2 linked regions of the Lepisosteus oculatus genome follow. The protein of the gene in region 2 purifies or fractionates together with the protein of the main gene of each other region. This does not show direct contact. Links are inferred from orthologs where the notes say so. Each region holds a gene or a part of one and is shown on either strand. Other genes may lie near its edges. The genes, in order: MOB kinase activator 2 and serine/threonine-protein kinase 38.

Evidence for each region.
Region 1: the proteins of serine/threonine-protein kinase 38 (region 2) and MOB kinase activator 2 purify together in Homo sapiens (affinity purification with mass spectrometry; 7 studies listed by BioGRID and IntAct, with this or other methods). This does not show direct contact. The link is inferred for Lepisosteus oculatus from reciprocal best matches to the Homo sapiens genes STK38 and MOB2.

What each region holds. Positions count from the first base shown.
Region 1 is NC_090716.1:13,589,397-13,596,813, reverse strand, and holds the start of MOB kinase activator 2, read right to left. Parts: upstream 3,091-7,417; 5' UTR 2,992-3,090; coding exon 2,876-2,991; intron 1-2,875. UniProt on the Homo sapiens protein: Stimulates the autophosphorylation and kinase activity of STK38 and STK38L.
Region 2 is NC_090700.1:36,873,019-36,880,660, reverse strand, and holds the start of serine/threonine-protein kinase 38, read right to left. Parts: upstream 3,002-7,642; 5' UTR 2,894-3,001; intron 1-2,893. Other genes in the region: tripartite motif-containing protein 16-like, read right to left, coding at 5,806-7,443. UniProt on the Homo sapiens protein: Serine/threonine-protein kinase that acts as a negative regulator of MAP3K1/2 signaling. Converts MAP3K2 from its phosphorylated form to its non-phosphorylated form and inhibits autophosphorylation of MAP3K2.

The sequences.
Region 1 (7,417 bases), on a different chromosome or scaffold from region 2:
TGGTCAGAGAAACAGCATGGAGGCCAGGGCTCTCCTTAGCCCCACTATGCACAGCATTTAGTTATTAACACACTCTTACAGGATTCACAACACATTCCTCACCAACAAACCAACAAGCTTGTCAGAACTGAATTCTGCCTCATCCAGTATACTCCTCACTGGTTTAGGCGAGTGGTTATATAATGAGGATTCTAGGCTTCTGGTTGCTACACCTGAGAAGGCACACATGTCTGCTTGAGGTCTCAGCTGGGAACCTCGACACGGACACACCGGAGTGATCCAGTCTGCTTACGCCTCCCAGCTGTAAGATCAGTAGGAGGTGGCTGCCCACAGCCTGCTTGTATTAGGGCTGCGGAGCATTCCCATTACCCACCTTCAGGAATAATTCATCTGCACTGGACTCGGAGGAAGATCAATCCAGAGAAACAGACAAGCAGCCACATGCTGTTCTGGCTCAAGCACAACTCCAGAATCTAGCGGGTAGGTGCCATATTCCCTCTCCTGGTAAACTGTACCCGGAAGCACACATTGTTAAGCACTCCTGGGGTAAAGACCGGGGCATGATCAACATCTGAATACCTTCCGGGCTAGCGAGAGAGGCCTGGGGCAGCATCCACAAAGCCAGGCCCACTCCACACAGCGCGCTCCAGCTGTTCTCAGCCCTGTTTGCCACGTTTTGATCTCCTTGACTCCTCTCACCAGCACTCCAACTCCTTCCTGTATATCCCCATTGAGCCTTTATGATGGTAACGAGCGACTTGCCACTTAGCAGGTCTTTCAGGCAAGGGGAAAGCAGGGGGTGGACAGCGCATCGACAGCGGCCGCATTCACGTGCAGAAGAACCTGGCTTCACAGCTCCCATGCGGGAACCTGCGCATGGTGACACACAGCAGGCTGAGGGCATCACTGAGCTTTCCACTAATCAAAGTGTCTCCGGTCTTGCAGTGCAGCAGGTTGACTTGAATGTGGGAAGCATGAGATGGTTCCCATTCGCTCATATAAAGCAAGGTTTCCTCTTTCCTACAACGCTCAGATTCCACCATAAAGCGATCATTCCAACTCCAAGTTGCAAGACTTGCATTTCTTCAGCAGTGGTGCAAACCGGAGCCTTGACCTGCTCCTCACCAAGCACTGCCCAGAACCCACCGCTCGAGCAGACACGCTCACACAAGACCGACTGGAACGGCTTCCAGATAAGGGGCCTGAGGAGACGCACTGCTGCGGAGCCTACACTCCCAAGCCATAATTGCTGAAAGGCAACCAACCTGACTTAAGTAAAAGGGCAAGTCAAGGAGACCAACGCATCTGTCTGTAAATGCTAACTTGGCAGCAGGTCTAAAAAGAAAATCAGCACTCTATTCTGACTAAAAGAACTCAACTCCTCCTGTGGAAAATCTGTGTTTTTCAGGGATTTAAAAACATAGAAAAGCAATCCCTAGGTGGAGCAAACAGATTAGTGTTAATATGAGATGGTTAGAGCATGTTCTGGATGTGTTCGGGGGATCCCAGCCTTAAATCCTTAAAACCCCGGGCACGTAATTCAAGGAACCAGCAGCACGCATACCACAGGGCTCCCTTCACAGCAAGTACCAAACTTTCACAAGAAATCGAAATATTCTAGCACATTTTAGGTTCCCACACCAGAAACTACAAAGAACATTATAGCAGCTGAAACTTAAATATGAATACGAATACAGCTCTCCTAACCTTAATGGGGACAGAACAGACAACTGCACATTGCAGAGACAGTATCCTGAAGAAGGGACACCTGAAGAAGGCTTTTCTTCTCTTTTCAGCAGGGAATAAACCTCTGCTTGTTCCTTAGTATCCGAATTGTACAACCGGCTGGCTTCACAACTCTGTTAACAACTGTAACAATTACATCTGTAAGACGAAAAAGACACAAGAGTGTCTTAACACTATAAAAACAAATAATGCCTAAAGAGGTGTAAGACCAATAAGCTCAAATTACATTGGTTTGCAGAGGACCACTGACCTATCTTAGAATAAGAAGAAGGATAACACAAACACATTTTAAATTGGGAAAAAAATGAAGGCTACTCCAGCTGCTCGCTGGGTTTTTAAAGCTTCAGTACGTCTGTCGACTTTAGTTTCCAACAAGCATCCGTCCTTTCAGATGAAACTATGCAGGTCTGTCTGGAGCAAGGCGTGGGTTCTCAGAGGTAAGCGCACTTTTCCAGTACGAAGTGCCCCACCTGAAGCCAGAGGCTTCGGGCGATAAAAACTCCCGCAAAGCGGCCCCGGCGCGGCTATCTGCGCTGTTGTGAACGCGTGAGGGTATTTCCTTTCCGTGTCCACACCGAGTTTCTCACGACAGTCAACGATAGGACAACGAATCCGGGAGTGTTGTGGATTTTTTTTTTTTAAAGTGACAATCGCGACGAAACATTTCAAATAAGGAGGTGTTGCTTAAAGAGCCATCGAAACCCAAACATGGAAAAATATCCGCGCATACTACTATTTCCATATAAAATAGCACGGGCAGAAAAAAACCAACAGCAACCCAAAGAGCTTTGACTGCCAAGACATCCGAGCCCAGCTGTTTTAAAATAAGCGCCTGGCAGCTCAAAGTTTTTATGCAGGGATCATCTCAACAAGTCGCACGGGAATCGAAAAACGTCATTTTAACAACTTACTCCACCGAAGGCACACAAAAAAAAGAGAGAGGGAAAGGGTCAAGTTAACATCCCAAACAAGATCGGGAAAGGATCGCGTTGTCCTCGGTTTCATACCCCCCATCAGGAACAGGGACTTTGATCCACACGCCGCCGCTGGCTACAACAACAGCTTCACAACTGCTCAACACACAACAGAAAACAATACCCGTTCATCACAACAACAGTTCGGTCTTTACCTCAAAACCTTGCCAACCGCCTGAAGTACCATTTTGCAACTTAATCCGCCTTTGGGAGTCCTCTGCGAGTGCTTTGCCGTACTGTCTCCCGAATGAGTACAGTGATCACCGACCATGGTAACGCAAACCGCGCAGAAAAGGATACCTCCCCAGCCGCTCGGCCTCTCCGACTGGCTTGAACACCAAATTGCCCTTTCTTTGCTAAGTACGAGAGCCAGATTCATTTCTGCGGTTCCGTCTGGGCCGGCCTCCTCGGGTCAGACCGCCTATCACCAGAGAGGGCGGGCGGAGCTCTGAGGGACCGGGGGGGCGAGAAGGAAAAGCTTCCTGCTCGCTGTGAAACCTGTCCCGGGTCCAGTCCTGAAGGCTTTGTCTCTGTAAAATAACTGCCACAGGGAATATAATCCATTCACTTACAGTAACTGTCATTGCATTGTCACTGCATGCCACACGACGCCCACAAACACCCGCTATAGTCTTCCTGTTCTGGGCGATCAAGCTACAAACGTGACATTTTCTCGCCCTACACCTCAGTCGGGTCATTAGGAAGGGTAAGTGCACCGCACTGACATTTCACCCCCTGAGACGCGACATTTACCGACTGGCTGGAATTGAAACAGAATAGTGTTTGTCTGGAGCTAACAACGCTGTTCAGTTCCTTAAAAATATTGCTCAACAAGTAGGGGGAAAAAAAATAACAACTTTTGACAGGTTGGAAACAAAAATTACATTAATGAAATGAGCTGCAATAAAAACAGCATTTTAAATCCCTGGAATTCTGTCTCATATGGAATATGTACGTTAAGGTAAAGATGCTAAAATAATTAATCGCAGTAATTCATCACGGATTACTACTTTGACTCCTCCGACGGCTTTATTTTCTGCGGTGGGACACCGGTCGCTTTCACATGCGACTTGCTGCGTTTTTAAAGCCCGGATCCGCCAACAAGCACCACACGAGAATCGGGCTGTGGGCATGGTCCCCAATCTTTGAAAACGAATTATAGGTTCATTCTCAATTCAAAAGGTTGGGCAATTCAAACCTAGAAAATGTTATTTTCCTACTGTGTCAGGGAGCCAATTTCAATAAGAAACAAGATCATGATCAACAGGTATCTATCTGCACAATATGCTCTTATAAACAAACTCCGTGTGCAAAATATCTTGCTTTATTGTCATAAGAAGCTGCCTGATGTTATGCATGATAGGTTATCAAGCCAGAACTGGATTGTTCCGTGGAAATTCCACAACACGGGACCCGCAGGCGCAGATATGTTGACGGAAGTTTTTCCATTTCAGGGAAATGCTGTTGAATAAAAAAAAAGGCAATAAATCCTGCACCGCTCACTACCAGCTCTACAGAAAACAGGTGTGCGAGGTGTTGGTTAGATTCCAATTAATTTGAGCTCAGACGAGAAAATATTGTTTTCCCATCATCAAGGAAGTTGGAGACGCGGCAGTTTATCCGCCGCGAGGAAGGCTGGATATTTTGATCAGCTATCTGTAATCCGATGTGTTTCCAAATAAAAAAATGTAACAGTCATGACAAAACATTTCATGAACAGGGAAGGGACACTTGAAACCTGGATTTAAACTCACCGATAAGTACAAATACATTTATGAGTTTAAGCCCCAGAATCGCCGTACTTCAGAAAACCCGACTCTGGTCTGCTTTATGTTTGAACACAAATTGCATTTGGTTGTATAACGCACTTCGCGTGCTTCCGCTCGACACGAAGCGCAAGTCAGGGATCTGAAAGATGAATTCAGAGATTTAATGGATTTTCAAATTCGGACGGTTTAACTTAAGACACTGGAGGTATGTCTCAGAAATCTAAAAAAATCTGTTAAGGTGCCTGAAAGTTGAAAGTTTAGAGCTGGTTCAGTGTACTATAGGTTCAAAATGCCATCAAGTTAGGCCATGAAAGTTTTAATTTTCTCAAATTAAAAATGTAATAAAATTTTATAACACTTCACTAATTAAAAAGTTTAAACGGTTTTTAGTATTCAAGTGGACCAAAATAGTTTTTCTGACTTTTCTGTGATGCTTGTAAAATTAACATGCACAGGTTCTACTGCAATCTAGATTAGAATTTAAAAGTTACTACGTTTTGTTTTGCCATCTTTAGAAGCAGGAATGCAATCCAACTGATTTAAAAACTCCCTATGCACAAAAAAATCACCTAGAGGTTTAATAAGTTTCAGTAAAGTAGAACACATCAGTAAATATTGGTATTATCACCTGCATAGGTAATCACTAAAGGTATGTAACAGCATCAGCCAAGAAAATCTGCAGTACACCCCTAAAACAGTCCTCAGTCACAGACAGGTCCCAGAAACCTCTGTGAAGCAGTTTGTGCTGACTGAGGAGACAGATACGGAGAGGAAATGCCTCGAAGGGCTGCCCTGTGCAGTCTTCCTCTCCCTCTGCCCTCAGCGATCTTGCCTTTGGACACAGCTGGAGAGGTCACACGAGCCCAGTTCCCCCTCCCGCTCCTCCTGAGCTTGAGCTGAAAAGACTGACTTCCCCGTGCTGGTGCATTTCAATGATGTCTGAAATGCATCAGAAGACTCTCCTCCCTTCAGGTTTTTTTTTATTGTAAAGGGAAATTATTTTACATGCCAAGAGGAAGCTGAGAAATGCAAAATCGTACCAACAATCATCACGCAAAGGATCAATAAATAACTCAACATATACAAAACAGACTCTTCGCAGTTAGACTTCTGATTTTTTTTCCCCATGTACCACCTTCTCGTTGCTTGCGAAGGGAGTTGCCGTGCCTGGCCAGGACTGTACTTACAACAGGACAACGCAGGGCTCTACTGCTCAAACACAGAGGGCCTTCAGTCTCAAGTGGAGAAGCAGTCTGGAATGTAAAAGAAATGCAGCAGCTTTGTTCGCTCTTACAGTTCAAGTGCTTGTGCCACGCAAGCTCTTGTGTGAACAGTCACACTGTGGACGTTAAGAAAGGCACAATTTCCAATCACAGAATAAACTGTGATGCCTGGGTAGCTGCTGTGCGCCCAACAACACGTTTACTGTATTTTTAAGAGCAGAAGAAGTATGTTGTAAGTTTAGGGCAAGAAATCAAGAATTTTAAAACCAGGCTGCGAATATCTACAGGCAGCCTGTCAGATAGGAATCTTAACTTGTCCTAAAGAGCTCCGAGAAATGGGAGTTTACTTGAAGCAACTGGGTTTCAAGCTAAAGACTCCCAATTAAAAAATGGCAAACTTGCCAGGAAGCTCTTCTTAGAAATGAAAACCTTTCACAGAAAAGCAGATGGCTTGTGACCACTCGAATCATTAAAGATATTTACTGCAACGTTCCAGCATTACAATAATTCAAACCCATGAACTGCTTTATATCCAATTAAATCATTTACGTGGGCAGGAACATAACAGGAAACAAAGCAGGATTTAGAAAGGAACACTGAATTACTCACAACATAGGAGCCTGGTGAGTAATCAACGATGAGACCGTGGAGTCACAGCAGCTCTGAACAGAAAGTTTTTCTAATCGCAATTAAGAAATGTGACCGACTTTAATATTCCAGAATTTACGGTATTTGATCTGCTGAGAACACGTCTCGACAAGCACAGCCTAGTCTTTGTTTTCCACAGACAACGCCGGGTCTGGCTCAACAGGTTGACGCTGAAGAGCCATGAGCCAGCAGGTAGAGCACGACTCGGGAGAGATGCTCATCGCTGGCGGAGAAGTGACTCAGTCCGCCGACAGCAGTGCTGAAGGAAGAGGAGCCACTGCCCTCCTGTGCACCAAGCCCAGCTGCTTTCCAGCGTCGGCAGTCAGATGTGCGTTTGTGTCACCTATGAACTTCACCGCAACTGACATTTTCCTGTTAAAAAATGCTGCCTCTTTTTCCTTCATGAGAAATCACACCCTGATGCCCCAGGAAAGGTGAAGCTTCTATATTTGATGGAAGCAAGCACAACGCAGGCAGCTGCAAGTGTATAACCCAGCTTATACAGTACTCTACAGTGCAAGGCCTAGGCTGTGGAGCTGTGTGTGACCGGCTTCTTACACTTGCCATGGATGTGAAATGGATCAAAGAAGTGTTTCTACTGCTCGTGATGGTTATGGACCTCTTCATTCTTCTGAATTGGATTTCTGGAAATCTCTAACCTAACCCACCCTCATCATCAAAGCAGATAAGTAGTTTAGAAATAATGCAGACGAATGCCAATGCAAACCTCAATGCAAGGGCACGTTTCTTTTAGTCCCCACCTCCCATATCTTTCTTATTGTAAGGAATGATTTTTTCCATGTGTTAAAGCACTAAGGCTTACTATGCTCTGGCTGGAAACTACATCACAATCAGGCTGTGGCCATATCTGAGCTCAAATGGGGGCATCTGTACTCTCTAAACCTAAAGAGACGACAACAGCGTACAACACTGAACTGATACTGTCTGTAAGACACGGTTCTGTTGCCAGGAATCATGCGAGGGTGTGAGACATCAGGCCTGTAACTACTTTTGAGAAGGAAACGGAAAATTCCCCCAGCGTGCACAAGAAATGTGA
Region 2 (7,642 bases):
ACATTAAAAAAACATTTTTGCATTTTATGGCTTGTGGAAAAACTACTCCACGAAAAAACAAGAATCACATACCGGCCACTTATCTTCCAGTCGAATTTGGCGGACAGTAGAAATCTCAAAGGCAAGTACATTTTGCTCCACTTCGCAGGTAAATACATGCTGCGCCTGGAGCTGGGAAGGTTGTGGCTGGATCAGAAGAAAGTGCACTGCTTCTGGCACAGGCCTTTGGTTTGAACTCACTCATGATTTGTGGTCAGTAATGGCTTGGACCATTATCCCCAAATTTAGAACAGGGATTAAAAAAAAAAACTCTTGGAAAGTCCAAGCTCACTCATCCTGCACTAATCAGATTGGAAAAGGAAGCAGGAGGGGATCCGCTAAAAAACCACCTTGTGACACGACACCAAGGAATTGACTCCTGTGTCACTGAAGATCACAGGCACTGCTCGGGAGAACAGGGGCGTCGCCACAGTTTTTTGGTTTGTAGTGAGGCCAGACTGTACATTAGCCCCCGTAATTTAAAAGTATTTTCTCACTCCTCCCCCTGATCTGCTGTGCACTGGGGCTGTTGGTACAGAATGGCCGCTGTGTGTCGCCCAGGTGGGGCAGCTGGTGCAGAAATTAATATGTGCTCTGATAAAGTTTTTCTTTTAATTTCGTGAATATACCTGACATGCATTAATGCGGAGAGAAAAAAAAAGTTTATATTGCTGGACAAATAAGTTTCAATATCATGGGTGACACAAAACAATGAAACTATAAATAAACTAAACAAAAATTAACTCCTCCAGTAACCTATCAGAAATGGAGTGGTGACTGTACCGTCTTTAAACAAGTCTAAAAATACAGTTAAGTGAGACAACGGCGCCCTTTAAAGTTATTTTAAGCATGTGTATGTGTAGTACTGAACCAGAGGAAGATGAGATATTTAATGCAAACGTGGGAAACAAGTTCTGAAGGAGCCGCGGTTATGTTTCGCAACGTTAAGTGTCACGACAAATGAACACTTTCACACGGTCCAGACAAAACCCGCTAGATGCAGTCTGCTTCCAGAGCATGTTCGCTTCATCGTAGTTGCATCAAATAACAAAGATTCGAGAATATCGACTTGCATAAACGTAAATATGCAAGTGAAACTATTAGATCAGGACGCACAGTACAGACCAAAACCTGTCCCGCCAGTTCACGGCGTGATGAGCAGTATTGGGACACAGATGTACCGTTACCGCGCTAACCGGAGGATAAAAAAGCCATATGAATGTTCAATAAATACTAACCGCCAACCTTTCCTGCTCTTTATTCTAATATTTGAAATAACCCTCCAGCTAACACGCGCTATCTAAATTCGTGCAGTTTATGATAAATATAACGTCATTACATAACGGACAACTTGAGTAATTGCTCTCTCCTTTTCCTTCAATTACCAAGTTTAAAACCTACTTTAAGTATATTTAATTGATAGCGCCTCCTCCTCTGAACGCACTGAATCCATTTAACCCATTCCTGCACAAAAGAACTAAAACACTAGGCGTGAGTACTATTCCTCTAAACCCTTCACAGCCTGTCTTCTCGTCTGTGAATTAGACAGACGTCCTACGTACAAATTATATACATACAGTACATGTACAGTCACGTATGCATACAGTATCAGAGAAACGTGTGCGCAGGACAACGTTACTGCAAAGACCTAACAGCCCCCACTTTAAACAAGCTAAAACGAGCCTCTCTGCGAACTCATTTATTAAATTACCACAGCTCTGAGAAACAAAAAAGAGAAAAGAAAATTATGCTCTTTAAAATGCTGGGTGTGGTTGGTGTCAGAAGCATGCATCGCTCAGACGCATTTTTAGGCTAAGTTATAAAACCGAGGCTACGGTTGACGCTACTGCAACACAATCCCCCTTTTGTTGCAACTTATTATCTTTAAACTTATTCAAGCCCATTCAAGCCTTACAGTTAAAGAACACGGAGAAAAGGAAAATATCACATAGACCTCTTTCAAGGACCTCCCGCAGAGACAATAGGATTCATCGACCTACTGCAGTAGCATTTATACACTGTACTTAGTTTTACCTTCTGAGGCTTTACACTATAGGTTGGTCTGTAAATTTACGAATTCATTTACAGTTCGATACTGTCTCGAGTTTAAACCCTTCTTGAACAAAGGCGTCACCTACACCCAAGTAACACCAACACAACAGCGGCGTATTTAAGGCAGGCGCCTGGTCTAAATTGTCAAGTTAGAGGCTAAAAAAAGTTGCACGAACCCACATAAACAACGACAGGGTCAATATTTCCATCCGTGTCAAAGGAGGATAAAAAGCTATAACTGGAAAGGTGCAATACTTAAACGCATGAAGAAAGTGGACGTTTTAAGAAGCTTATTTTAACAAGATTAACAACTTCCTTCACTTTCACATTTGTAAGTATACGTTACACTTACAGTAGCTCACCGTCCTGCAGTATAGTCACCTACTAACAGCCAAGACAGGCGCTTTGTTCTCTCGCCACACCGATCTGTAACTACACCTTCCTAAAACGGCAATTGTATCCATTTTAAAAAGCGTTAATTTAATCAAATAGCTCAGCAGCCCTACGCGCCTTTCCCAAGCACAGGAATAAGCAGCAGTTTCAGTTTTCATTTTTTAACGCTACCCAGGTAGAGCAACTCTCTCTACCACAGACAAACTGGGAGGAAAAAAAAGAGAACACCAGACTTCACTTGGCTAACGGTTACTTGAGAAAAAGTTCTCAAAACGGCCCTTGCAGAAAGAACAAGATCGCCGTTTTAGGTCAGACCGAAGCCGAACTGCCTTAGATAACATCTGTGTGTGTGTAAACCGGGGTATTTGCCCCTTCGGGAGTCAGTTTTTACGGTATTAAGTGCACTCACCTCCGCCTGCTCGGCCCCAGGCTCACGGCTCGCCTCTGTCCGCTTCCCCCTGTGTCGCTACTCGACGTGATGACGTGCAGAGAGCGCTAGGCGTCCTGGCTGGGCTCTTTCTTTAAATGCCTTTTTTATTAAGCAATGCTGTGTACACACTGGGGACCGACAGGACTTTTCAAAACAGGACGGCTCCCTTTGTAAATGAATGAGACATCCCACCACCAGTTAAAAATGAATATCCAATTCTGTTTTTTTTTAATTTATACGAAAAACGGTACGGTTAATAATGAAACTGATGACGGATCTGCGAGTTCAGAGATGCACCGTATGCGCAAATCAGATGAGCTCGACTATGAATGGTTTTACACACAGGTAAATTGGGGGTGACAAGTTACGGACGTTCTCTACGGACTCCAAACGCCTCGATAGCGTTTAGTCGAAGGCACGGGAAAATAGGAGAGATTCAGGCAGGCGTCACATCACAACGTAGTACATTTAGCGGTTAAACTAAACACTTTAAACTTGTATCAATTAATATAAATATTACACGTTTGGTAAAAAGCTGAGAAATCACTGGACTGGTTTTGAAGCCCAATTTGAGATCCCTGCTTTCAAAAGGTTTTAAAAACTAAAGGTTTTAAGGTATCTGTGAAGCATGTTATATACAATTAAATTATTTCAAAGAAGCAGTAATATGATTTTTAAAGTTATCAGATTTCATTCAAACGCAATTTTCACTGCTGTATTGATGAAATTCGCACCTAATTTCGTATGCAGTCACAATCATCCGCGCACATGTAACGCAGTCCTTGCTAGGGGACAGTCTAGCACACACAGCAATGTTGCAGCTAATAATAGCGAGCATTTCAGGAAGTTATTTACCAAACCTGAAAGTTGACGTTTTACAAAGAAAATTGCAACGCAGGAAGACACTCACAAAAACATTCCGAGAAAGTGTTTAGACTAGACTGCAAAGCATTTACAGTACATGCAGTAAAGCATTTAATGTGATTTCTTTACAGAGAGGTTTCTATTATTGTCATCCTGTTGTATCTCTAAGTGTCTAGGGATTATGAGGTCACGTAAAGTCTCTATGCGCTTTATGCGTTTATCAAAATTATGAAAAGGCCAAAAACCAGCCTCTTCAACATTCCGAGTTCTGTTATAACAACATTGCATTGCGTGTCCTTACAGTGACCTCTTGCGGCGGAAGAAGTTAAAGTTAAAGTTATAAAGACGAATAAAATTGAGACTTCCTTGTTTAGCACCACAGACGAATTTCTGCACGTTCTAAACTGTAGGCCTTGCCGGACTGGGTCTCTCCTGGAGCAGAACTAGAAATCCGGATTTTTTCTTCATGAAGGCTTCGCGATTAGCGCCTGAATGATAAGTTCCAGCATTCACTTACTGAACTCCCACTCCAGGTCCTGAAAGTCCACACACCCACTGGCTTCCATTGCCTCCGAAGTTGTAACTTTATTAAACAGACTTAACCGGTTCCTTGATATTAATTTTTGCAATCTTTTTTTCCCCAGTAAAAAGCTTCCAACTTCTGTGTTACTCACGAACCACAGTAATGAGGATCTGGCAACCCTTAAACCATTTAAGAGCTAAAAACAAAGAGCTGAAATGAATCCCATTAATAGGTCAATCAAGGGCTGAATTATGTATGTGAGAGTCCAGCTGTCCTAAACACCAGCTTGGGGGACCCCCAAGACTAGATTTAGGAAGCCCTGTCTGACAGTAACGTCACCCCCATCTCCTCTTAGTATTTGCTGTCAATTTCTAGTCCAGACCTGCCACTTCATATGGTCTCACAATGACGTAGTAATCAAAACCAAGAACAGCTCATGATTGTTTATTTTCTCTTTTATTTTGTCATTTGAGCAATAGTCTATAGACCATATTATTGTACATAATACATCATGGTGTCATGTAAAACATTAAAGCACAGTATTGTTAAGTCCTTGGTTACCAACTCGAAAGACTGAAAAAAAAAGTCATATCAGTGTCAGCCCCCTTTTAGATCAGATCAGATCACTTTGTTAGCCCTATACAATTGCTTGCATCAGGAATTTGTCTTTCCGCATATCCCAGCTTTCTCTCCGTGAGACACACAGACACACAGATGGGGAGAGAGGATCATGAGAAATGAACAGAGCTGCTCTATGTCGAGGTATTATTCTTACTCTTCCTTTGTCTTGACATAATCAGGAATCAGGAGAGTGCTGACACAAACATTATATTTGTGGATAAAATAAGGAGCTGACAGCAGGCACACATGATCTGTGAGGTCCCTGTTTATCGGAGAGTCTGAAAAGTCAATTCTCCCACCCACATAAAGCACGCAAGCAGACGTACAGTTATATCTTGATTTCCTTCTTTGGTTTCCCTTTTATTGGTCTCCTTGCTTGTTCTGACATATAACCTAATAAAAATGTATACTTTAGGCATCTTCTCAACATGCTTAATTACCCTGAGATCTGTTAGATGGCTCCTAAGAGGTGATCAATTTAAGATAAAAAGGCATTTAGGAATATGTATCACAAGCTGCTATTTCTGTAATGCAGAAAATCTTGTTTTAAATCAGGAAAGCATCTATCTTATGCATTAGGATGGAAAACCTCACATTTTGTTATGTGCATATCTTATTCCAGAAAGCATGCATAGTAGCAATTGGAAACAGTCTGTTGATTTTGGAAAAACACAGAGTTTTTTCCCATGTTGTGGTCCAGTTGGTCAAATATCAGGAGGCACGCCTGAAATAGGGTAGTCTTTAAATTCAGAAATTTAAAAAATAGATCTCAAACTGAAGACTTAAACTAATTTGCTGGTGATTCAGAACTTGAGTGGCGCAGAAAGCCGAAGACACAGAGGTCCCCCAGGATCAGGACTGGAAAGCACTGCTCTAGAAAGTGTTACTGAACAGCTTCCACTTTCGGCAAGTTACATGATGACACACTTCTCACAGTTAACCAGAACAATGGTTCGTCAGACAGAACCCAAAATGCAGGGTACACTGGTTGTGTGAATTTAGTTTTAAATGTATAAATATGGACCAACTGATCAGCTACACTGTGAAAAGAAAGAGTCCCTGCACTAATATCTACATGAACCCCAATCTTTGCGGGTTGAGATGTAGACGGAAGGAAAGTCGAAATCTTATTATGCCAAACAGAAAGTTTAGAATTCCACCATCTGAGAGCCCAAGAGACTGCATTCACTCCCAAACATATATCTTTTCCGTCTCCCTTCCTTCCTATGTTCTGGTAAGAGATCCCCAGAGACCAGGCACCGTTTCCAACATCCACCTCCCAGTAATGCTCTCCAGACGAGAAGCCCTGGTGAGACAGGACTTGGTGCCAGCGATCAAACCTCTCAGGGAGCCCTGGGTACGGCTGTTTCTCTTTAGTGTACCGCACGGTCTTGAGATCCTCAGAGAGGATGAGGTGAGGATGAGCAGTGTCTGGGTCCAGACTGAGTTGTGCAGGATGAACCTCATTCCTTAAAGCCTGGTGCCCCTTTCCAACCTCAGCTTGAAACTGGCTGAACATTGCACCCAGGACCTCCAGGATTAATTTTCTGTTCAGTGGTTTTTCTTCAAGGCCTCTTAGAGATTCCTCAAGGGCCTGTGTCACTCTGTTCTGGGTGTCCAGGTGCTGTTGAATGAACAAGAACTCATCCTTCTCGGCCAAGACGGATTCCGCCTGACGCTTAATCTTCTGAAGCTCTTCGCGCTTCTCACTGAGAGCGACGACGTGTTCCTGCGCGCTCATTTCAAGAACGTGATGCTCTTTCTCAATTATTTCCACGATACGTTCTTTATACGTATTAGCAAGCTCAATTATGTGGTCAAAAACATCCGTCGCGCTTAGTTTCATGTGCGCATTTGAACCCTTGACTGAAGTTGCGTAAGCTTTCCCCTTTTCAAACAGCTCCTCGGCTAGTTTCAGGGTTTCCGTGATGTCGTTTATTTTTATTTTCAGGTCAACCTTCAGCTCATCACGGGTTTTCTTTAAACTCTTCACATTATGATTCCTGTGCTCCCCTTCCACGGTGCACGACACACACATACAAGTCTTATCTTCAAAACAATAGTATTTCAGCGTTTCTTCGTGCAGCGGGCACTTACGAGCACTGAGGTCCGCCGTGGGCTCCACCAGAACATGACTCTTAAAAGCTGACCGCTCCAAATGCGGTTTTAAGTGAAGGGCGCACATCGAGATTTCGCACTTCAGACAAGTCCTCACAGCCGGGTCTGCGTTCCCCAGACACGTATCACAAAGCACTTGAGGCTCCGAGTAACTGGACTTAAAACTTTCTATAAGGTTGCAGAGCTTGAAGTTTAGTTTTAGCGCAGATCTCCCGTCGAATTCTCTCCGGCATTCCGGGCACCTGTGCCGCGGTACCCCCGAGTCCTGCTGGATAAGTTTCTGAACACAGGAATCGCAAAGGTTGTGTCCACAGGGGAGCAACTGCGGTTCGGAGAAGAAATCCAAGCACAGCGGGCACCTCAGTTCGTCTTCAAAGAGTTTTTTTGGCTCGGTCCGTGACATTTTTTTTTTGCTGTGCTGAACTCAAACACGACAAGCGAAGGTGAAATTAATAATGTTGTTCCTGTAAAGGGCGTCTTTTCGGTTTCGGTTTGTTAAACGTGTTATAGCCGGTTTCCGTCGCTCGGGAACTGTGATGTTGCCTGTCATGATGAAACATTAAAAATATCAGCAATAACGTGTTGTACTAATCCACACTTAT